3 linked regions of the Ovis aries genome follow. The protein of the gene in region 1 binds, or shares a complex with, the protein of each later gene. Links are inferred from orthologs where the notes say so. Each region holds a gene or a part of one and is shown on either strand. Other genes may lie near its edges.

Region 1 (8,093 bases):
TGAAACTTTCCTCACAAATTGAGCAATCTGCCACACCTTGGTCATGCCCCCCCAACTGGCCTGCTGTCCCTTTTCCCAAACCTGTTTGATGTAATGGTTGCACGTTTTTCACTGATACAACTCAATGGCTAACACTAGGATCCTGGCCCCAGACCTTAACCCCTTCTTTCCCAATAGGGAGCCCGAGATTTGGTATTGGCCTAAAGACCAGTCTTAGTTGGATCTGGCTTCATCTTTGATATTGGGTAAAGCAGTATGCTATTCTCCTTTTAGACTATGAACTAGATGGGCCCTGTGCTTAAATTTGGGGACTGTGAGTTTGTTTGGAGTGAAGTTTTATATTACTTCCAAGATTCTATAAGCAGTAGAAATCAAGGATGGTTTTTATAAATCAAATACGAGTATTTATATCTTTATTATCACGGCTTATCTGTTCCTGATAGAAGAGTTTCAACAGGGTTAACTCATAGGTATGAAAACTTCTCAAGATAGACACCCAAGTCCTAGCTGCACGAAGTGTGTTTATGAATGAGGCAAGCTCAAGGTCCTCCTTGTCTTTTGTTTCCAAATGCTCCTAATCGGGTGATCCAGGTAACACAGTAGAGAGAATTGTGGTCCACTGCGGCAACAACCAGGACTTCCAGGATTGGCTGGAGCATCTGTACAGGCTGATCAGAGGACCTGCCTCTTGCAGTTCATTATCCAAAACATCATCGTCATCTTGTAGTGCTCACTCCGTAAGTAGCGTGTCTGTCCTGTCCAGGGATTATTGAGTCTCTTGTCAAATCCTGCCTACTGAGGACTTACAAGAGTGGTGAGCATGCCCTTAGCCTTTGGATAGTTTGGATTTGTAGGATTAGAAGTACAGTCAAACCTCATTAATTCTGCTTTCTTGTTATGGGGGAGGCCTATCCCAATTAACACAGAGTTTGAGATATGCAGCCTTATTTGACAGTTATACTCCAACTGAACTGCTAGCAGAGTTTTTCTAACCAGAAGTCCTGCTAAGATGTTTTAGTGATAAACAGGATGTATTTTACTTAGCAACCGTTATGCTCATCAGTGCTTCGGCTCCAATCCTTTGGCCACCTGATGCGCCGAGCCAACTCATTGGGAAAGACCCTGATGCTGAGAGAGATTGAAGGCAAAAGGAGAAGGGGGTGACAGAAGATGAGACGGTTAGATAGCATCACTGACTCAATGGACATGAATCTGCACAAACTCCGGAAGATAGCGGAGGACAGAGAAGCCTGGGGTGCTTCAATCCATGGGGTCGCAAAGAGTCAGACACAACTTAGCAACTGAACAACAACAGCGTGCTTGTACTGATAATGTGCTAAGGCAAAAGAGATAGTTTACCCTCTTAAGTACTGAAACATCTCCATGCAATCCCATCTATGCTATCACATTTCTTCATTAACCTTTAAGGGTAAACTTTGAGAGCTGCCTCCTTCTGCTTTATCACAGAGTTCACAGAATTTGAATTGATGAGATTTTACTGTACTTGCTGAGTGAGACTGAAGATGTGCTGTGTCGTCTGTTAACATTCAAACCTGTGATGCCCAAATTCCAGTTTTGAGCATAGTGTGTTGTGAGAAGAAAAAGGGCTTTTGGCATCAGATCTGGGTTCAAATCTTGACTTTGCCGATTGCTGACTGGTTACTTCGCTTTGCTAAAGTTTGCCTTCAGCTTTTCTGAAAATAACCTATGTAAGCACCTAATTGAGTGCCAAACACATAACTGAACTCATTAAATGTTGACTGTTATTCCACTTTCCTCCCTTTCAGGGGAAAAAGAAAACATCTGACTTGAATGAAATTGCAGGACAGAGGGAGGGCAGGCTCATGGGATGTGGAGTCATTGTTGTGCTGTTCCTTTGAGGGCCCAGGTCTTGACTGGAGAATGCCAGTTCTCCAACTGGAGACTTGTTTTCCCATCTTTTCCTTTCTGGGCCTGGCTTTTCAGATCCAACCAAGCTATTGCTGTTCTTTCAGTGTGTGGCCCAGGGTTGGGTTCATATGGCCAATTGCTACCATCTCATCAGCCATTTTCCCAGTCTTTTAGCTCTACTGGACAGCCCCGAGGACCCTTGGAGCCTCCTCAAATTATAAAACCGTGGAGCTTAAGTTGTCTACGACCTGCACCTCCACTTAGACCATCAGCAGCACTAGGTTATAAAGAGGTAATTTTGCTACATATGGTATAAAATGCTTCTGACAAGCTGATTTTGTAGCTTATTAAAAATAGTTCTGTGGGGATGTGCTAGAATTGATGGTAGGTGATACAGTCAGTCAGTCTTGAGTTGCCAGACTCAGTGATTTTTTTTTTTAATTTCTTAATTTTTCATTTCCCCATTGTCCATCTACACATATATCTTAAATACCCACAGGCTTTCTGTGCACTGCCTGAGTTTCTCCAGTCTCCTCCTGAAGGGCCCCTGGTTTGCCTTTATGATGATATGATAATTCTATAAATTGGTCATGATGTACACACATCTCAAACAAAAGTTGCTTCATTAGCGTGGAATTGCTAACCAAGCAGACCCAGTTCTGCATTTTTAATCATTTTGATCTATGAAACCAAATCTGGGACCAAACCCTGGGTCTGAACTATGAAAGTCTGAATTATTTGCTGCAGTTGGAAAGAAAGAATTTAATGAAAGGAATGTCTTTAAAAAAGAGGCTTCTAAGCAACAAGCCTAGAGGACATTTGATATTTGGGTAGAATGGGGATTTCAAGTTGTTTTTTTTTTTTTCTTGTCTCGAAGTTGCAGTCAGGAAATGCCAGTCACTATCTTCTGAAACTGTGTGGAGTGTTACCTTTTCCATCCAAACTTTTTTTTTCCCTAGCATGGTTCTCATCATTTCAGCTTTCAGAAAAGATCCTCATTTATTAGCAACTGTTCTTTAAATAGGTATTAACGCATGAAGATTTAAGTTTGTGACAGTTATGAGATGTGTCTTAGAATTACGGTGCCAAGGCAGCATATGTTTTTGTACCAAATGTGTGTTTTTGATGCGTAACACAGACTTAGCTCAGTTTTGAGTTTGTTTTGATTTAAAACACCATGCCATTGTTTCACTTGTTGCCTCCAATGCTTAGTGCAGTAAAAGTAGAACAATGTTTGGATACAAGAGGATTTTTTGATCTTTTCAACCTGACATGATAGGAAAATAATCCTTGAGCTGAATCTTTATTATGTACCTCTATTCAGAATTTGGCCAGAAAACAGCCCCAGAGATTGGCTTTGGAAATTGATCGGTGATTCCTGCAATCATCCAATTTTCTCCTCTGATTACCTTAACCAGGAGTGCCACTTCATAGTTACCTAAGTCCCCTTTTTAATGATGGATATTTTGTAATTGTCAGTTACTAAATTCAAATTAAGGTGAGCTTTGAAGTGTAAAGTTGACTTAATCCTTCACAGAACTAATCCATTAAAACTAAGGCATGATCACTTTGTTTCTGCTGGGAGAAGTGAGTTATTAATATGTTCTTACTATATAGTGTGTATTTCAGTAATTTTCAGCATTTGTAATTCTTCACAGAACTGTATTCCTTGGGCTTTTGCATGACGATATTGCATCTGAAACTAATGTGGGAAACATGATGATATTTTCCCTGTGTAATTTATGATAACACTAACATTTCAAATGTTGTTTTAGAATTATTGATAAATGGATTTGGTCACTATAACCATCGACCTCTCACGCTCATCTTCTCTTTCTTTACATATTCACTTTAGAGGATGTCTTATATCTTAAAGGTAAGGGTAGAACAATATCTTTGGTGTACAGTGACATCATTTAATGCTGTGCTGTAATCTTTGATGAATGAAGCTTTCCTTTATGCTTGTTTTGTCCCTTTTTACAATTGGTAGCTAAAATATGAAGATACATTTCTGACATGTAAGTACTTTCTTCAAAAAAGTAGGCTCTTGGGAAATATGAACAAAAATGAAAAACTACGTGTGACTAAAGTAACAGGGAAAATAGAAACAGCATGTAAAATGTCTGTTTTCCATGGGCTTTTTTTTTTCACTATTTCTATTTTTCCTGTTATTTTTGTCACATGTGAGTTTTTCATGTCTATCTGCTTTCTAAGGACATCACTGAGGCTAATAGGAAGAAATTAAATTCTTTGTCGTATTTATTTTTAAGGTAGCAGTTGTTATCCATTCATCCTGTATATACATAGCATGGAAGGTTGAAATAAGATGATCACTGTTTACTCGGATACTTAATGAGCACTTTTTAGACTTTCTGGTTATTCATATGGCAAATCCAACAATTCATATATCTTTTATCTGCTAATTAAAAATATGCCTTGCTTGGCTGTTGGTACATTACGTGTAACCCCACATTATTTATCAGGAAATCTTTCATTTGGCTATTCTCTCTGAATACAGGGAATGTACTTAGTCTCTCTGCCTTAATTTTCCTGTCTGGCCAGTGGAAGTTGATATTCTTCTTTGTGGGACTGTTGCTAAGGAGAATTTATTAGTTTTGAAGCTCTTTGAAAAGTGGTCTATACCCCACTAAGAGTTATCATTGATATTTCATTCCCTTAAAACTGTATCAGTGGGAAGTATAAACCCAGTTAGGAGTAGTGTTATTTCTCTAGGAATGGCATCCATCACCATCTCTCCAGATTGTGCCCTAAAGGCACTTTGCCTCCTGCATCTGCAGTTGGCCCATGCCATTCTTGGAGCCACTTTTACTGTGTCTAGCATTAAATTTTTATTCCCTCCTAAGTGAAACTGTAAAAATCAGAGAGCCATTCTACTTAATTTCATTTGCTCTTTTTAAATTTTTTTTTCGGGGGGTGGGAGGGGCGAGAACCTTAATTCATGAAGAAATCTCTACCCTTATAGGAGTCTAGTAAAAGCCCCAAAACGATGAAGAAGTTTCTTCATAAAAGAAAGACTGAAAGAAAACCATCAGAGGAGGAGTATGTCATCCGGAAAAGTATGTATGTGTTTTTTATTTTTCGAAAGTTGATTATAGATGAGGAATTTTTTGAAAGCAGAAGATTTGAGCAGTATGTTCTCAGCGTCATCTTTCCCATAGGGAAAAACGCATGTGAAGGCTTAGCCTCCTCTAAGACTTTGGAATAAGCTGTCTCCGGCTGCTTTTCACCTGTATGGTTTTCGTGTTGACTGTTCGGCCTTACCTGGTTTAGAAATACTAAAGGGACCTATTTGCAGTGGATACTTTTTTTCCGTTCTTAGTTTCTGAATGCCTGAGATATTTGCCTTTACTGAGACTCACTCAATAGACCTGAAGGGAGTTTAATGTTCAGTGATGTTCTCAGTTAGTCAAGGAATCTGCCTGCTGTCATATAGAAACAGGGCTGGATTTAGAGACAGACTGCAAAGTCGGTCAGCCAGTGGGTACATACACATTTGCCTCTGCTGCTGGGAACAAGGCACTCTGGGACACATATGAAGGAGTAAGTGACGCTTCCTAAATGGGTGACAGAGCTGTGCGTATCAGTCAGAGATAGTCTGGATAAACCTTTGCTAGACTTTAGCTTCTGTATCCCCCATCCCCCACCCCACTCCTAGGTCTGTGCACATGAGTGTGTTAATAGTCACTTCTAGGATGAGTTGGAGGGGCTTGGAGAGGAGAGGGAGAATCAATGACTAGCCTGGCTGGTTGGGGAAAAAATGTGTTATGTTACTGGTGGAAAGCTTCCTTAGAGAAGGTGAGCCTTGAAATTTGATGGAGAGGAAGGGTGTGGTGTGTCAGCTAAGAACTGAGGCCAGCGCCAAGCCCAGTGCTGGCCCTGAAGCCTCTGAGACACTTGGGAGACCCTCTAATTTAGTGTTCCGAGTGGCTTCCAGAGCAGACCACTCTCGGTGCTGATCTCACTGGTGCTGACCGCAGAGCTCCTCGGTCACTCTTGCTCCACCATGACAGCTGGTCAGCTTTTCTCTCCTGCCTTGCATGAACACCATTGGTCAGAGAAGCCAGTGCCCAGCACCCACGTGCATCATTTCAAGGGTCCAGAGGTGTGTATCTCTGTGAAAAGTCACAATTCATTACATTTGACAGGTACGGCTGCTCTGGAAGAAGATGCTCAGATTCTGAAGGTGATTGAAGCCTACTGTACCAGCGCAAGCTTTCCACAAGGCCATGGCTCAAGTAGGTCCCCCCAGCCACTTTCTCTAATGAGTGATGTTTCTTCGCTACTGCTCACTGCCTCTTGGAAAAAGAGCAAAGCAACCCAGATGGGCTGCAGGGTGTGGAAAGCAGGTGACTTGAAGCAGAGGAGTGGGTACAAGGCTGCATCTTTCAGATAAGCTGGTTTTAGCTACCAAGCGGTTTGTTTACCCACTATTTCTTTTCACCCAGAGAGAAAGAGAGATGCAAGAATAAAAAAAAGTTGGAGGTGATAGAAATGAAAAAAAAAAATTTTTTTTTAAGTCAATTTCCTTTGAAGTACACAAATACCTTCACCAACACTAGTTAGGAATTAAAGAGCCCAAAGGGTTCCTGTGTCTGTGAACTGATGCTAATCTCTTCTTATAGGCAGATTTGGAAAGGAAGTCAAAATATTATCTTTGATCAGCTGCATATTTAAGCAAACAGAGCTTCACCAAGCTCAAGTTTCAGAGTTGCTCTGAAAATCTGGAAATGTAGCTGCTTAGCAGGGCCTGTTCAGAGTGTCTACAATTTATCAGGGACCTATTAGCTGAGGGTATTTCCCCCAGCCTGAAAGGGAGATGATGTTTTCTGATTCTTCCTTGTGCTTTTATAAAAGACATGTCACATGGCTTATGTCCTTGGCCTTTCATTATTAGAGACATTAAGGATACCTGGTGTCAGGGTCTTGCCTCTGCAGAAGCCATGAGGTCTCCCTAAGGCTCCACTGGGACAGCCACTGAGCCCATGCTTGAGCGTGGGCAGGGCTTCCTCAGTGAACCACCCTGAGGGGTGCTGTCAAAGTGACATGTCTCTAAGGGCATCATGGGAAAAGCATTCTATGTGGACTTTGATACATTTGACCTTGAAGGGGAGAGTGTCACACCGTGTGCTTCTCAGACGCAACCTGGCTGCAGCTTTGGGCATGCCTAGCCCTAATAACAAGATTCCAGGAGCCAGGAAAGGCAAGTGAGAGAAGTTTTTATCATAGAAACCAGGAAAGAGAGGGACACAAGGAGACACTAGAAGCAGCAGCCCTCCTATGATATCTGACCTCACCTCCTGCCTCCTCCTGTCTTCACTCTGATAGACACAGGAAATTTGCTCAGAGGTGCAGGCAGGCATTCTGGCCTCAAGAGTCACATTGTCTCTCCTCCTCCCTGGCCTCCCTTTTATGTGTGGAAAGTGTCTAGCACAGTGCGTGGCACACAGTAAGCCATTTAGCATCATGGTGTCATGGTGACCGACACCATACATCCCTCTCCAGCCAAAAGTCCTGCTCCCCTAAAACTGATCCCTACTGTTTCTTGCTGCATCCAGCTGGTTGGTCAGTCAGCCAGTCTGCTACCCACTTATTAAGCATCTACGAAGTCCTGGGCCCTGCAGAAGACAGAGACAGATCCCCTTCGAGGAAAGCATGGAGATTGAGTGAAGGCAGTGAGTGTTCAGAAGTTGAAGGGAATTGGCTCAGAAGAGAGGAAGCCAGTGGCTCAAGGAGACAGAAGATTTAGGGATCTAGCTCTCAGAGGAAGGATACAGAAGGGAGGCGGAGGTTGGAGGTGCAGGAGAGCTGTCTGGTCAGGTCCCATGGCTGCTCTGTCACCTTCTCCATCCCAGAGCAGGGAGATGGTGAGCAGACAGTGGTCAGGACGCCTGCATCTTTGCAGCTGTTGTGATCATCTCCCCACCCACACTCTACCCTTGATCAAAATAGTCTCCACTGACTCTGCGTCACCCTGTAAGGTGGAGAACAAATGGGGTGAATGATGCTTCTGAAGACTTTTTAAGCATGTTGCATCCCCATGTAGTGCTATGTTCTGCATGATTTTTACTAAAATACAAAACACACAGAGTGTGGTGTGCCATTCCCCAGAGATGGACAGGGAGGAATGGTTGCTGGCCAGCTCTTTGCTTTGGAGGAGGCAGAACAGGAAAGGAGGGAGCCTT
Region 2 (8,093 bases), on another chromosome or scaffold:
TTCCATCTTTCTGCCTTGTTCCCAGCCTCATAGGCTTTTCTACCTTTTCACAGATGTGTGAGACCTGCCCCTGCCCCAGGACAGGCCTTTGCAGTTATAGTCCCCTTTGCAGTTATAGTCCCCACAGCCTGAAAGACTTGCCTCCTAGAAGTACCTTGCTCCCATTCTGGTGTCTTCCATGTAGGTAGGGGCCTTTCACACCACCCTATTTTAAATAACAGTCCTTCCCTCCCCCTGTTCTACTGTGTTTTATTTTCTTGCAGCTATCAGGGTTTGTGGGGTTTTTTTTAAGATTTTTGATTGTCTCCTCCCCACCAAAATCCAAGTATCATAGTGGGCAGGCAGTTTTGCCTGCCTTGTTTGCTGCGGTATCCTCAGCACCCAGCACTGTAAATATTTGTTGAATGAAATCGTTCTCTTTGTTTTTATTTATTTTTTATTTTATTATTTATATTTTTATGAAGTAATTCTCTTTAAAACTGATGACTTGATAAGTGAACAGATATCAAGTAAAAGCCATAGTTTTTTAAGCTTTTTATTTTAAGACAATTACAGATTCATATACAGTTGTAAGAAATAATACAGAAAAAGTAAAAGCCATAGTTTTTTAAGCCTTTAATTTTAAGACAATTACAGATTCCTGCGCAGTCATAAGAAATAATACAGAAAGATCCATGTCCCTTTCGCCTGTTTACTCCATTGATAACAGCTTGAAAACTATAGTACAATACCACAAGCAGAATGTTAACCCAGTATACCCATCTTGGGCACATTTCCTCAGTTGTTTTACTCATATTCATTTCTGTGGGTATATGCACATGTGTGTTTGCGTGCATGCTAAGTTGCTTCAGTCATATCCAACTCTATGCAGCCCTATGGACTGTAGCCCTCCAGGCTTCTCTGTCCTTGGGATTCTCCAGGCATTGCCCTTCTCCAGGGGACCCTCCCGACCCAGTGATCAAACCCATGTCTCTTATGTCTCCTGCATTGGGAGGCGGGTTCTTTACCACTAGCAGCACCTGGGAAGCCTCATTTGTGTGTGTTTAGTTCCATGCAGTTTTATCTCATGTAGAGCTTTGTGTATCTACCACCACAGTCAAGATAGAAGACTTCATCACCACAAGACTCCTTTGTATTGCCCATTTGTTGTCACACTGACTTATATGTCACACCCTCCTAGCCTTCCTCTGGCATCCCTAACCCCAGCAGTGACTGATATGTCTCCAGCTTTATAACACTGTCATTTCAAGAATTTTCTATAAATGGAATCACACAATATAAAACCTTTTGGGAGTATGTTTCTTCACTCAGCATAACTCATTGAGATTCATTGAAATTGTTGCATATATTATAGTTCCCAATCACTGCTGAGTAGAATTAACATTTTTAACCATTCACCTGTTACAGGACGCATGTGTTGTTATCAGTTTGGGGCAATTGTGAATGACATTTCCATAAACATTTGTATACAGATTTTTGTACACACATTTCCTTTGTTGTTCCTTTGTCCTTTCCGTTACTAAATCGTGTTTGACTCTTTCCAACCCTATGGACTGTAGCCTGCTAGCTCCCCTGTCCATGCAGTTTCCCAGGCAAGAATACTAGAGTGGGTTTCCATTTCCTTCTCCAGGGTATCTTCCCGACCTAGGGATTGAACTTGTGTCTCCTGCATTGGAAGGCAGATTCGTTACTGCTGAGACACCAGGGAAGCCCTAAATTGCCTTTACTCTGGGTTAAATGCCCAAGAGTACAAATGTTGGGTAATTTCATAACTGCAAGTTTTAGTTTAGAAATTGCCCTACCATACTGTTTTCCAAGAGGCTATACCATTTTACATTCCTAAGCAATGTATGTATGTTTCTAGGGATGCAGGGGGTAAATTATTTAAACCAGATTTTGTATACTACATTTCTTTGCTCCGTTTTTACTGTATTTGAATTTAAGATCCTGAAGGTCAAACGTATATTAAAAGAGAAAGTGTTATATAAAATTTAATTTTTAAAGAATATGTGTTAAGACAGGGAGCAAGTGGAGGAGCAGATTCCTTCTAGTTTGGCTTATCAGCCATGAATGTCCAGTGGGCTAGTCACTTTCCCTTTCATTTCTGAATCATGGGATTAAGGATTCTGGCAGTACCTGACTCACAGATTTACTGTGAAACCCAAATGAAAAAATGAACCCAAAAAGACTCCATTTTATAGGCCAAAGTGACAGCATTTTGTAAAATACTGAGAACTGGATATTGTTGAGCCACATGATTGTCTAAAATTAGCTCAGATCCATAACCAGCCCTGTATGCAGAATAGTACATTGGTTTAGTAATACTGCCATCTAGTGCTGAGGAGCAAATAATGCTGTCAAGCCTTAATATTAATAGTATTAAATTTTATTTCAGTTTCATTATTCACTTACTAAAATTTCCTTGGGACAGTTTCCCTAGTTTGTTTTCTTTTGTTTTTTTGTTCCTGTGGTTAAGAATAATCACACCTTCTAGTGTGCCCAGGGCACTAATGAGTCGGAAATCTGACATGGACACAGTAAATTCAAACAGAAATATGAAATTCTGTAAACAGCAAGAGCTGTGGGGTGAGAGAAGAACAATGGAAAACCTGATATAGTTTCTTAAAAAAAATTTTTTTTCAGTCCCATACATACTGTCACTCACTGAATTCCATTTCACAAGGGAATGGTCAGATTAAAATTTGATTTAAGTGAGGCATTGCTGAACTCAGAATCCAGACTGTAAGTATATTCAGACATGAGCAAAGAATAAAATTTCACCTTTTCTGTGGATGATGGAAGATGAATCCGTGAATAAATAAGCCAACAGCTAAAGGAATGCAGCCAGTTTTTCTTGTCAGAGGCAGAGGAGAATGGAACGGGTCCTGTCCAAACCAGCTCAGAGACAATAAAGCTTTGGGGAGTTTGTGTAAAGACACATGCTCTGCCCCCTCAGCCTCTAGTGACTAATTCAGCCAGTTACATATTTCCAAAAATTGGTACAGTCTGACCAGCCACCAGCTCTTAGTTATTCAGGTCTTACTTGCACCTCTCTTTTCCGAAGGATCATATTACCTTCAGATGATTAGATAACCTGTCATCTGCACGGTGGACATAACGGTGCTGTGGCGTAATGGTTAAGAATATGGATTGTCTTGTTAGAACTAGGTTGGCATCTGGTTCTGCTGTACTTGGGCATCATCCATAAATGGCAGTAATAATAGTACTGCCCTCACCGATTAATAGAGTAATGCATGCAGAGTGCAGTACAGGGCCTCCTGTACAGTGAGCGTTCTGTCTGTGATAATCCTTACTGCCTTGTAACCTCATTTCTTCTGCCTTGCGTGAGGTACCTCTGAAACCTAATGCTTTACCACACACCCTATTCCATAAAGTCTAATAATCTGTCTCTGGCCTGGCAGATGTTGCAGGGAGGCAGTGTGGAGAAATTGGAAACTGGCTGCTGCTTTTGCACACTACCAGCTGACTTCATTTTTTAATATGAAGTAGATTTTAAATGAGCAGACATACCTGTTCTTAAGTTCAAGTATAGAAACATTTCACATGTCAGTGTGGATAGTTTCAGTTTTTTAAGAGTTCGTTTTTGTTCCACTAGATAGATAAAAATTGCTACCTGGATCATTTTCGAAGCCTAAGGTGTATTTCATGGTGAGGTTTCTCCATGTCTGGTTTTTGATTGTGCCTTTTCTTATAACATGGTGTTCTTTACCGGAAAAGACTTCTAAGTTTCTGCAAGATCATTCCAATATGATCTGTGTTTTCTAAAGTAGGTATATCTAAATGTTGGTGTGTGTGTGTGGGTATACACATACATATGTATATGTGAAAGAATATGGTGGTTAAGAGCTACGTAATTGGGATTTCCCTGAGGGTCCAGTGGTTAGGAACGACTCTGCACTTACACTGCAGAGAATACTGGTTCCATCCGTGATTGGGAAACTAAGATCCTGCAAGCCATACAGTGCAGCCAAAAAATAAAATAAATGAAAGGAGTCCTTTGGGCCCAGGTTGGGGCAGGGCCTGGCACCCTCTGCATACCCAGCAAATAAAGGTTAAATGAATTCAGCAATACTGCTTGAAGGGAGGGTGCAAGAAAGCTCACAAGTGGGAAGTATGAACATATCTCCTCTGAATCATTGGAGTGGTATCAGTAAACCAGATCACTAAAATATAAGTAAGTTTAACGCTTTCAGGCTTAAATGCTTTCCTTTTCCTTCAGCGTCTGTGATTTGGGAATTGGAAGGTTGCTATTTAAAAAATGGTTAAATTGGGAGGGGCAATATAGGGCAGGGAATTAAATGGTACAAACTTATTATGTATAAAATAAATAGGATACAACAATAAATTGTACAGCACAGGGAATATAGCCAATATTTTATAGTAACTAAATGAAGTACAGTCTATAAAAATATTGAATCACTATGTTGTATACCTGAAACTAATATAATGTTATATCACCTATACTTTAATTTTTTTTTAATAGTTAAATTTATTTTCTGGTATTTGAGGCCTAGTCCTTAAGGTACAATGCCTGCCTTTTAATAAAAAAAAATATGAACATAGAGGTAGGATTGCTTGATCATCATTTGGTCCTCATATCCTCTTGAATGTAATTTCCCTACCATGTGTGACTGACATGGGGCAAATTAACTTTGAGCAAAGTAATTGCCCCTTTACCTTACAGCTGTTTGCTAAGCAAAAAAGGTGAATTTTAAACTATTACCTGAGTTCCTAAAATTTGATTTTTATTACAAATGTAGGTGTATCACCACCTTGGGGATACCAGGTGCATTCTTGGCCTTAATCCTGAGGACATCTTCAGCTTGTTCCATTTCCTATCCTTGCTTCTGCAAACTGATTTGGTTGATGGAAAAGAAATTTAGTTATGTTGGTTTGCAAGAGTTTTCTCTCATTGGGTGATTTGATTTGTTTTTCAGTCTGCTCCATCTGGACACAAACATCTGACGGTGGAAGAATTATTTGGAACCTCTTTGTCAAAGGAACAGCCAACAGTTGTGGGTCTGGATTCAGAAGAAGTGGAGAAACTGCCAGGAGATGCCTCCCAGAAAGAGCCCAACTCATTCCTACCATTTTCGTTTGAGCCTGGAGGGGCCCCCCAGTCGGAAAACCTGGGTGTCCATCCTGCTGCCCACCCCTCAGTCCAGCCCGAAGTCACCACCCCGGTGCTAATCACTCCTGCTTCCATCACTCAGTCCAGTGAAAAGCAGGCCCCCAGCTATGCCATCCCATTGCACTCTGTGCTAAGTCCTAGTCTACCAGCAGAAGCTTCTACTGGACAGGCTCCCCCCAGCCTACCCCGAAAAACCACCATGATGCAAACAGTGAAGACTACACCTAGGCAGAGGTCTCCACTCCTGAGTCAGCCTGTCCCCGAGCTGAGCCACGCCAGCCTGACTGCCAGCCAGAGCCCATTCAGGGCCCCGCTGAGCGTGACAAACACAACCAGTCCATCTCTCCCAAGTGTTGATCTTCTCCAGAAACTCAGGTTGACCCCGCAGCATGACCAAATACAGACACAGTCACTTGGGAAAGGTGCAGCAGCACCCAGCTTTTCTCCAGCAGCCGGCCAGCTGGCCACCCCTGAGAGCTTCATAGAGCCTTCCCCTAAAGCAACAGCAGCAAGAGCCTCAGCCTCCCTGAGCAACATGGTGCTTGCTCCCCTTCAGGTACTGGCAGGAGATTGGGTGGCTGTAACCTAGTGGGATGAAACTGGATTTTGATTGAGAGGAGACAGAGTTGTTTAAAGAGACAACCGTTGAGTGTGTAAGGGGCTAGAAGAAAGGAGAGGTGAGAAGCCCTGCAGTGATCAACCAAACCATCGGTAACTGGTGGTGTAACTCAGTTCCACTTCCCAAAATAATTTCAGCTGATAAAAGCTGAGAAATTGTATTTTCCTTCCTGGGTGTGCATTTTAGCGTTTTTTTGTTTGTTTATTTTTGCCTGACACGTCTAGGAGTCCTTATTTGACTCAAGACCATGGATCCAGATTATCCCAAGCTTTGTTCCATCCCCTGCTCCCTCAGTACTCTGACTGAGTGCCTGCCTTGTGCCAGGTGCATTAGGGGTGCCATAAGAGCGTCCCACATCTGGAGGTCTGAGGTCAAAGAAAGCTTCCTCGGGAAACTGGCCATCAGCTGAGATCTGAAGACTCAGTAGAAATTAGCCAGACCTAGAGGTAGGAAGTGTGTGTGAAGGCAAGGAAAGTAGCAGGTGCAGAAGCCTAGACACGAGAGGGCATTTGCTGAGCTGTGGTGTGACTGGATCTATGTGTAAAGAAACATGGGGGAGCAGGTATTGGTGATGAGTAAAATTTTGTAAATAGTATCAAGGAGTTAGAGGTTTGTTCTGAGGACCCTGGAGAGTCTTTTAAGTGTATGAGCCAAGGGTGGCACGCTGGGAAAGGGGATGACAGAAGGACGACAACCCATCAGAACGGAGGTCGGGGCAGTCACCCAGGCTTGAGCGGGTGGGGGCCTGTACTGGGCAGTGTGGACATGTGGATTTATTAAGAAGGAGGATGAGCGGGACTTGGTGGGGTTTGGATATCGGGGTGAAGAAGAGGTTTGTCCCTCAGTAACTTAAAACGTTGGTGAGTTTACAAATGAGGAAATCAGGTCACAGTTGAAGTGACTTGTGCAAGATCACAGAACTGAAAGGGGGTAGAGCCTTTCAAGGTTTTAGTCTCATGCCCTTTAATCATTACAATCCCCAGCTCTTGAACATTTTACCAAATAATATTAATACTGGCTCTTCTGTATAATATTATCTCTTAGTTAATGGAATGCTTTGTTCCATTCCGTTAAAATTCTGTACAGAAAAAGAAACCTGGTGTCCTGGTTACATGATTAAATTGTCATATTTGCCGTTTCTGTCTGCAGTATAAGGAGCAGCGAGAATGTTCTGTTTGATAAAACATCCCTGAAATGTGTCTGCTGCCACTATTCCTGTTGTTCTAGAAATACAGCCTGCAGTCCTGAATACCGCCCCTCTAGATTTGGCCTCTGGGACAGCACCCTGCTCTCCAGCATGCCTCTGGCAGAGGAAGCTTACAAACATGTTCTTTCTCGTTTATGTGCCATATCGAATTTCAGGACCTGGGACCGCACTGAGTCCTAATGTATTTGCTCTGCTACAGGAGCTTCTGTGTCTCCCAGGGAATAGGTATAGCATTTATCTGGAAGTGTGTGGCTCTGTGTGAGACTGTTTAGTGCCACCTGTCAGAGTGTGAACCACCCTATCAGGAGGCTTCATGCTATCAGGATCTTGCGTCTCTACAGTCTCAACAGCAAAATATGCTTGGTCTGTCCCCACTCTTATAAGAGACCCAGGTTTCAGCTTTTTCTGTAGAGACGTTTTCAAGGCTTTGCACACCCCTTTTCTCCAGTGGAACTGAAGAGGGTTGGGGGCTGTCCTGAAGCTCCTATCCTGCATTGTGACAAATTCTGGTCAGCCACTTCCCTCAGGAATCTAGGAACCAAGTCATGTTTGAACTCCTCCTTACAGCTGCTAACCTAGATTTTTACCCCAGTAACTAAGAAATCTTTAATGAAAAGTTGCTACATCTGTTCATCTTTTCTGTTTAAACGTTGCAGTCTATGCAGCAAAACCAGGATCCTGAAGTTTTTGCCCAGCCTAAGGTGTTATCCAGTGCCATCCCGGTAAGGATCCCCTTTTTCTAAAGAGCATAGTATGTCTTAAGTTCTTCTGCTGAGTGTAAAGTGAAACATTTCAGCTTTCAAACTTAGGCCCCTCTTACATGTCCCCTCCAACTCCCGCAGGCAGAGCTCATTGCTGTGGCCTCTGCAGTCCTCAAGTCATCCGTCCTCAGTGATGTCTTCCTTGAATGTGTGTATGGGAGGGCAAGGTCGGCCACGGCAGGGGTGCTCACTCACTCCCTCTGTGTTGTGAACAGGCGACTGCTGAGAGCAAGTCAGCCCCATCCCTATGGATAGGAGACAGTCTTTGCCCTGGAAGAACTATGGTGTCCCAGTAAACAAGGCAGTGTCACCACCCTGCTCGATGGCTTCCCATTGCCCTGTTGACAGAACCTC
Region 3 (8,093 bases), on another chromosome or scaffold:
TCTCTTGCTTTTTCGATGATCTAATGGATGTTGCCAGTTTGATCTCTGATTCCTCTGCCTTTTCTAAAACCAGCTTGAACATCTGGAAGTTCACAGTTCATGCATGTTGAAGCCTGGCTTGGAGAATTTTGAGCATTACTTTACTAGCATATGAGATGAGTGCAACTGTGCATTAGTTTGAACATTCTTTGGCATTGCCTTTCTTTGGGATTGGAATGAAAACTGACCTTTTCCAGTGCCGTGGCCACTGCTGAGTTTTCCTAATATGCGGGCATGTTGAGTGCAGCACTTTCACAGCATCATCTTTCAGGATTTGAAACAGCTCAACTGGAATTCCATCATCTCCACTAACTTTGTTCGTAATGATGCTTCCTAAGGCTCACTTGACTTCACATTCCAGGATGTCTGGCTCTAGGTCAGTGGTCATACCATCATGATTATCTGGGTCATGGAGATCTTTTTTGTATAGTTCTTGTGTATATTCTTGCTACCTCTTCTTAATATCTTCTGCTTCTCTCATTTACTGTGCCCATCTTTGCATGAAACGTTACCTTCGTATATCTAATTTTCTTGAAGAGATCGTTAGTCTTTCCCATTCTGTTGTTTTCCTTTATTTCTTTGCACTGATATCTGAGGAAGGCTTTCTTCTCCTTGTTATTCTTTGGAACTCTTCATTCAAATGGGTATATCTTTGATTTTCTCATTTGCTTTTTACTTCTCTTCTTTTCACAACTATTTGTAAGGCCTTCTCAGGCAGCCATTTTGCCTTTTTGTATTTCTTTTTCTTGGGGATGGTCTTGATTCCTGTCTTCTGTACAATGTCACAAACATCCTTCCATAGTTCTTCAGGCACTCTATCAGATCTAATCCCTTGGGTCTATTTGTCACTTCCACTGTATAATCATAAGGGATTTGATTTAGGTCATACCTGAATGGTCTTGTGGTTTTCCCTACTTTCTTCAATTTAAGTCTGAGTTTGGCAATAAGGAGTTCATGATCTGAGCACAGTCAGCTCCTGGTCTTGTTTTTGCTGACTGTATAGAGCTTCTCCTTCTTTGGCTGCAAAGAATATAATCAATCTGATTTTGGTATTGACCATCTGGTAATGTCCATGTGTAGAGTCTTCTCTTGTGCTGTTGGAAGAGGGTGTTGCTATGACCAGTGAATTCTCTTGGCAAAATTCTATTAGCCTTTGCCCTGCTTCATTCTGTACTCCAAGGCCAAATTTGCCTGTTACTCCAGGTGTTTCTTGACTTCCTACTTTTGCATTCCAGTCCCCTATAATGAAAAGGACATCTTTTTTGGGTGTTAGTTCTAGAAGGTCTTGTAGGTCTTCATAGAACCATTCAACTTCAGCTTCTTCAGCCTTACTGGTTGGGGCATAGGCTTGGATTACCGTGATATTGAATGGTTTGCCTTGGAAACAAACAGAGATCAATCTGTCATTTTTGAGATTGCACCTAAATACTGTATTTCGGAGTCTTTTGTTGACTGTGATGGTGACCCCATTTTTCCTATGGGATTCTTGCCCACAACAATAGATAAAATGGTCATCTGAGTTAAATTCACCCATTCCTGTCCATTTTAGTTTGATGACTACTAAAATGCCTATGTTCACTCTTGCCATCTCCTGTTTGACCACTTCCAATTTGCCTTAATTCATGGACATAACATTCCAGGTTCCTATGTAATAGTGCTGTTTACTGCATCGGACTTTGCTTCTATTACTAGTCACATCCACAGGTGGGTGTTGTTTTTGCTTTGGCTCCGTCTTTTCATTCTTTCTGGAATTGTTTCTCCACTGATCTTCAGTAGCATATGGGACACCTACAGACCTGGGGAGTTCGTCTTTCAGTATCCTATCTTTTTGGCTTTTCATATTGTTCATGGGGTTCTCAAAGCAAGAAGACTCAAGTGGTTTGCCATTCCCTTCTCTAGTGGACCACATTTTTTCATGCCTAGTTGTAGATGATTAGGGTTTCATGCCTGAGAAATTAAATAAGGACCTAGTAACCAGATACTGGTATATGGGGATGGTTTTCAGGAAGAAAGCAGAATTTGGGTAGGTAATAAATGTCAAAATGGGCAGCTTAGCCTTTAATGCTAATGTTTATGGTTTGAGGAGGAGTAGGAAGGCAGAAATGATGTTTCATGTGCCTCCTTAAAGTCTGACCAGGGCACAGCCTAGGAGCTGGATATGAAGGTGGCAGTTATGTGACTCCAGCTTTGGAGAGACAAGGGATGTAGTGGTTAGGACACTGGCAGAGCTTGATACCTTGGGGTAGGCACACAGTATTTACAGAAGAAACACTCTGCATATGAACCGCTTCTGTCTTTTCTTTTTCAGCTGATTTTGGATTTTGTGCTCAGATCACCCCAGAGCAGAGCAAACGCAGCACCATGGTGGGAACACCATACTGGATGGCACCAGAGGTTGTGACCCGGAAAGCCTATGGGCCTAAGGTTGACATTTGGTCCTTGGGCATCATGGCCATTGAAATGATTGAAGGAGAGCCCCCATACCTCAACGAAAACCCTCTGAGAGTGAGTGTTACTAGTCCCATATCAAGATGTTTGGGCTGTTGGATTTCTCTTTTCTGGATCAAACTAGGCAGTGATAAAGTATACATGCTTAAAGAAAATGTAAATTAGCAGTCATTCATTCATATATTCAGTGATTATTTGAGTTCTAATGGGCAAGAAACTGTTGTGATAATAATAAAACAAATTAATATATAGTAACAGAAGATAAGAGCTGTGAAAGAAATAGTAAGGGGCTTAAGAGAGTAAGAGGAGGAAGGACAGAGAAGTATGCTGTTTTATTCTAGGTGGAGAATGAATTCCTCTCTTATAAGTTATCTGAGGAGACATCTGAAGAAAAAAAAGGAATGAAAAAGTAAAAAGAAAACTGAAAAAAGGAATGAGTTTTGAGATTAATCTGAAGTAAGAATTTTCAAGTTATCAAGTGTATAAAGAACTTGTTTAGAGAACATACTTGATACATCCTTGGGAAAACCAAGGAGACTAATGTCCCTGAAGTGAGTGAGCAGAGTGGACAAGGTTCTGACCATGTTAAGTTAAAATGTTTATTAGACATCTTAAATGGAGGTATTGAGTAGAATTGGGCATAAGAGTTCAGAGTTCAAGAGTGAGCATTCAGGACTCGAAATACAAATTTATTAGTAGGTATTATATGGTTGGTTTATTTAAAAATCAGAGGTAGATGATAATGAGATCACACACTTAGGGAAAGAGGTAGTACTGAGACCTGGGATACTCTCATATTTACAAATTAGAGGAACCAGCAAAGTTGATCAATGGGCAGCCTTCCTGGTAGAAGGAGAACTGAGAGATGTGTCCTGGAGGCCAAGAGGACAAGTGTTTTGAGAAGGAGGATGGACCAGTGTGTCAAATGTGACTAAGTTGCATTTAAGCCAATGCGAAGTAATGATCATTAGATTTGCCTGTGTGAAGGTTGTTGATGACTTTGACAGTCAGTTTCACTGGAGTGATGGGAACAAAAGCCTGATTAGAGTAAATCCACCAGAGTGAAGAAATGACATGTATAAGCAGTTACTTTTCATCGTTTTCTTTCAGAGGAATTTTGCAGTTATGCTAACAGAGAAGTGAGTGGAGCCATATCTTGAAGTAGCGACTAGGGGGGTTTTCTTTTTTTGTTTTTTGTTTTGAAGATGATATTATCATAGCATGTTTTTGTGCTGATGAGAATTATCTAGTAGAGAGGAAAATGGTCATGTACAAGAGGGATGTGACGTCTGTAGGAGAGATAGTGATATCGTTAAGTAGATCGGGGGGTTGGATGAAGTACTGAAGTAAAGATCATCAAATTAGAACTTGGACAGTTTGTTATTATAATAGGAGAGGGAAAGCAGTGTAAGTGAATACAGATACAAGTAGGTTGATAATTTTGATCATGGGCAAATGTGAGAGTTATTCTGATTGTTTTTATTTTGTTATTTATTCCAACCTCTCACTCAGTGCAAGAATTCCCAGAGTTTTGTCGCTAATCAACAGTCATGTAGTTTTAGCCAGTTACCTCTTGGATAGCCCTGATTATTGAAAAGTGTTTTAGTGTACCAAACTGAAACTACCTTCCATAGTTTCTTTCCTTGCCTCCCAGTATTGCCCTGTGGATCCACATGCCACTCATCTTCCTCCACCTTAGAGTGGCCTTGAAAATGATGATGATTAGTAGTAACAGAAATGAGACTGGGATCAAAGTCAGAGGACATAAGCTTGTGTAAACAGCACAATCCCAAGCATATCTCTTTATGTTTTAGGACTTTATCTGTGAAATGGGGATGATAATTCTTGCTCTGCCTATTACCCAGAGTTATTGTGGTCATTAAATGAGATAGTGTTTGTGTAAACACTTATGAAATAAAGTTCAGATTGCTTTAAAAGGTTTAGTATGATGTTTTTCTTTATCTTTCCCAGGATATGGCTTCATATTAGAGAACCAAGATGGCAACAGTGAAACAGATTGCTCCTTTACAGACTAGTTCCTTTATATATTCTTTTCCTGCTAGAAGAGATCAGTTTTTAGATGACTGAGATGATGGCACCAGGAATAATAAATTTCCTTCAATAAATGGGCAGGTGTTTAACTCATTAGGCTAAATGTATAGTAAACCATTTAGATTTAAATCAATAATAATAAATCCTTGGATCTGTAACACACTTCATAAGCTTATGAAATGCTTACAATATGTTATCTTGTTTTATTTTACAGACATGTGAGATAGGCACTGTTATCATCCCTGTTTTACAGACGAGGAAGTTAGAAATTCACTGGAAATTTGGCTCTTAAGTCATATTCTCTCCATTATACCAAAGCTGCCTCTTTGTCTTCTGAAGGCAGAAAGCAGCCGACCATATTTCTTCGGGGCCTGTCTGGGAACCAGGAAAGAATCCCAGGTAGAGCCCAGGGCAATTCTGTTTGTATTTCCAGGCCTTGTACCTCATTGCCACAAATGGGACCCCAGAGCTTCAGAACCCAGAGAAGCTGTCAGCTATCTTCCGAGACTTTCTGAACCGCTGTCTTGAGATGGATGTGGAGAAGAGAGGTTCGGCTAAAGAACTGCTGCAGGTAACTGTCCCTATGTAGGGAGGCACCTAATTCAGAGAATCACATAATGAAGGCTTTTTTGCTGCATTTTTGTATGGCTGTTATAGAACTAGGCTTTTCTCCTAGCACGTCCCACACTCCTATTTCCCTCATCTTGTTCATCCCTGGACCTTTGCTGATGTTACTCCCTTGGGCTCTTCCTCAGCCTATTAAAACTCTGTACTTTTCTAGGCTGTATCTTACAGAGTTATTTTCTGAGCTCTTATTGAACTTTGCCTATATCTTCCTTTGGTGCTTGTTATGTTCTGCCTGAATTAGTCTAGCAGAGTTTGAGTCTTGATGAGAAGAAATTTTTTGACATGCAAATCTTATACAAGGTATATTTTACTGGGATAAACTCAAAAGATAGATTTTTAGGAAAGGATATCAGAAGACATTCATTTAGAGGATAGTTAGTGCAACATTTCAAGTCTTCCCAGTTTCTTCATGGAAACCCTTGCAGATGGTGGGAATGATAGTCTGCTTGTTTGTTCATTTATTTCAATTTTTTGGCCATGCCACATGGCATGAGGGACCTTAGTTCCCTGACCAGGGATCAAACCTGTGCCCTCCTGCAGTGGAAGCTTGGAGTCTTAACCATTGGATCACCAGGAAGGTCCCTATAGTCTGCTTGTTTGGAGTGAGATCCTGACAGGCTGTGGGGAACCTGAAGTTGGGGGTTTACCAAGCCTTATATATTCCACCAGCTTAATCCTGAAGTTATAGCATGATTATTTCATATGGTTTCAAAATTTGCTTTTAGTTGACCACATTATCTATATTTAGCATTTATGTTTCAGTTACAATTTCTCATTACTAGTGTTATTTTACTACATTGCCAACTGGTGATTTAATAAGTGTGACATGCAACTTACTGACGATGAGAAATGTGTAGATTTGCACAGTCAGTCAGTATACAAAAGTCATAAAACTTTTGTATTTTGAGGACTAACACAGGGCAGGGCAGGGCAGGATGTACCATACTGCATCAAATTAAAGCTAACTATGAACAATTCTGTCTTCCTTACTGTTAGTAGATCATAACTTCTATGTTATTAATCCTTGGTTTCCTCTTACCTGGGACCTGAATCAAAATAGGTATTCAGTGGGAGAAAACATTTGCAAATGATATCACTGATAAAGCATTAATATCCAAAATATATAACCAGCTCATACAGTTCAGGAAAAAAAAACCCTACAAACAACCCAGTTAAAAAGTGGGCAGAAGACCTGAATAGACATTTTTCCAAAGAGAAAATGCAGATGGTCAGCAGGCACATGAAAAGATGCTCAGTATCACTAAGTATCAGGGAAATGCAAATCAAAACCACAGTGAGAAATCACCTCACAGCTGTCAGAATACCTGTCATCAAAAAGAATCCAAATAACAAATGTTGACAAGGATGTGGAGAAAAGGGAACCCTCCTACACACTTGATGGGGATATAAATTGGTACAGCCAATATGGAAAACAATATGGAGGTTTCTCAATAAACTAAAAATAGAACTATGATATGACCCTGTGGTTCCAGTCCTGGGTATATATATGAAAGAAACAAAAACTAATATGAAAAGATACATGCAACTCAGTGTTCATAGCAACATTATTTATAATTGCCAAGATATCTAAGTGACCTCAGTGTCCATCAGGAGATGAATGGATGAAGAAGATGTGGATGAATACCGAAAGTGAAGTCGCTCAGTCATGTCCGACTCTTTGCGACCCCTTGGACTGTAGCCTACCAGGATCCTCAGTCCATGGGATTTTCCAGGCAAGAATACTGGAGTGGGTTGCCATTTCCTTCTCCAGGGGTGGATGAATACTGCTCAACCATAAAAAAGAATGAAATCTTGCCATTTGGAACAACATGGATGGACTGGGAGGATATTATGCTAAGTGAAATAAGTCAGACAGAAAAATAAATGTTGTATGACATCACTTATATGTGGAATCTAAAAAGTAAAATAAACTAGTGAATATATAAAAAAGAAACAGATTCACAGATATAGAGAATAAATTAGTGGTTACCAGTGGAGAGAGGGAAAGTGGGGGAGGGACATTATATGGGTAGGGTATTAAGAGACACAAATTATTACATGTAAAACAAGCTGCAAGGATATATTGTATAACCCAGGAGATATAGCCAATATTTTATAATAATTATAAATGGAACGTAACCTATAAAAATTGTGAATCACTATATTTTATACCTGTGATTTATGCAGTGGGCTTCCCTAGTGGCTCAATGGTAAAGAATCCTCCTGCCAATGCGGTAGATGCAGGTTCGATCCCTGGGTTGGGAAGATTCCCTGGAGAAGGAAATAGGAAGCCACTCCAGTATTCTTGCCTGGGAGATCCCATGGACAAAGGAGCCTAGCGGGCTACAGTCTACAGAGTTGCAAAAGAATCGGACATGGCTTAGTGATTAAACAACAACAACTTGTTGTTTAATCTTTAAACTAACATTGTATATCAACTATACTTCAATTAAAAAATAGGTATTCAGAAGATGTTTGTTGAATTGAATGGAATTGCTTAAACCTTCATTGAAATGTTACCTTCTGTAGATATTTAGCATCTCTTTGTAATCAGAGTTACTGACTACAGAGCATTGATATATTAGATATGAGATCTGGGTTCTACCAAACCCATTAGTTTCTAGCATCCTTTGGGACAAAACCTTATAACAGGCAGGTTAGGAGCCTTTTCCTTTCATATGAAGTTTTTTCTGGAAACACCAAGCTTTGGGAAATGTGCAAATAGTCTAAGCCTCAAGATGATATTGTTAACTAGGTATTAAAACATAGTTACGGAAAGATTAATGTCCTCTCAAGTTTTTTTCCTGGTATAGTAATACATGACAAATAATAAATGCATTGTGATGAATCTTTACCACATTCTAGGCACTAAGGATTTTACATATTTTTTAACCTATTCTTTTTTAATAAACCTGTGATTTATAGAT

Evidence for each region. The genes of interacting proteins can lie anywhere in the genome.
Region 2: ARHGEF6 (region 1) and DCP1A share a complex: the UniProt entries of both Homo sapiens proteins name them as parts of the cytoplasmic complex. The link is inferred for Ovis aries from reciprocal best matches to the Homo sapiens genes ARHGEF6 and DCP1A.
Region 3: ARHGEF6 (region 1) and PAK1 share a complex: the UniProt entries of both Homo sapiens proteins name them as parts of the cytoplasmic complex. The link is inferred for Ovis aries from reciprocal best matches to the Homo sapiens genes ARHGEF6 and PAK1.

What each region holds. Positions count from the first base shown.
Region 1 is NC_056080.1:98,532,707-98,540,799, forward strand, and holds part of ARHGEF6 (rho guanine nucleotide exchange factor 6), read left to right. Parts: intron 1-591; coding exon 592-737; intron 738-2,056; coding exon 2,057-2,182; intron 2,183-3,745; coding exon 3,746-3,766; intron 3,767-4,873; coding exon 4,874-4,967; intron 4,968-6,056; coding exon 6,057-6,146; intron 6,147-8,093. UniProt on the Homo sapiens protein: Acts as a RAC1 guanine nucleotide exchange factor (GEF).
Region 2 is NC_056072.1:47,778,753-47,786,845, forward strand, and holds part of DCP1A (mRNA-decapping enzyme 1A), read left to right. Parts: intron 1-4,958; coding exon 4,959-5,708; intron 5,709-7,634; coding exon 7,635-7,700; intron 7,701-8,093. UniProt on the Homo sapiens protein: Necessary for the degradation of mRNAs, both in normal mRNA turnover and in nonsense-mediated mRNA decay. Removes the 7-methyl guanine cap structure from mRNA molecules, yielding a 5'-phosphorylated mRNA fragment and 7m-GDP.
Region 3 is NC_056074.1:16,257,350-16,265,442, forward strand, and holds part of PAK1 (serine/threonine-protein kinase PAK 1), read left to right. Parts: intron 1-2,347; coding exon 2,348-2,544; intron 2,545-4,972; coding exon 4,973-5,110; intron 5,111-8,093. UniProt on the Homo sapiens protein: Protein kinase involved in intracellular signaling pathways downstream of integrins and receptor-type kinases that plays an important role in cytoskeleton dynamics, in cell adhesion, migration, proliferation, apoptosis, mitosis, and in vesicle-mediated transport processes.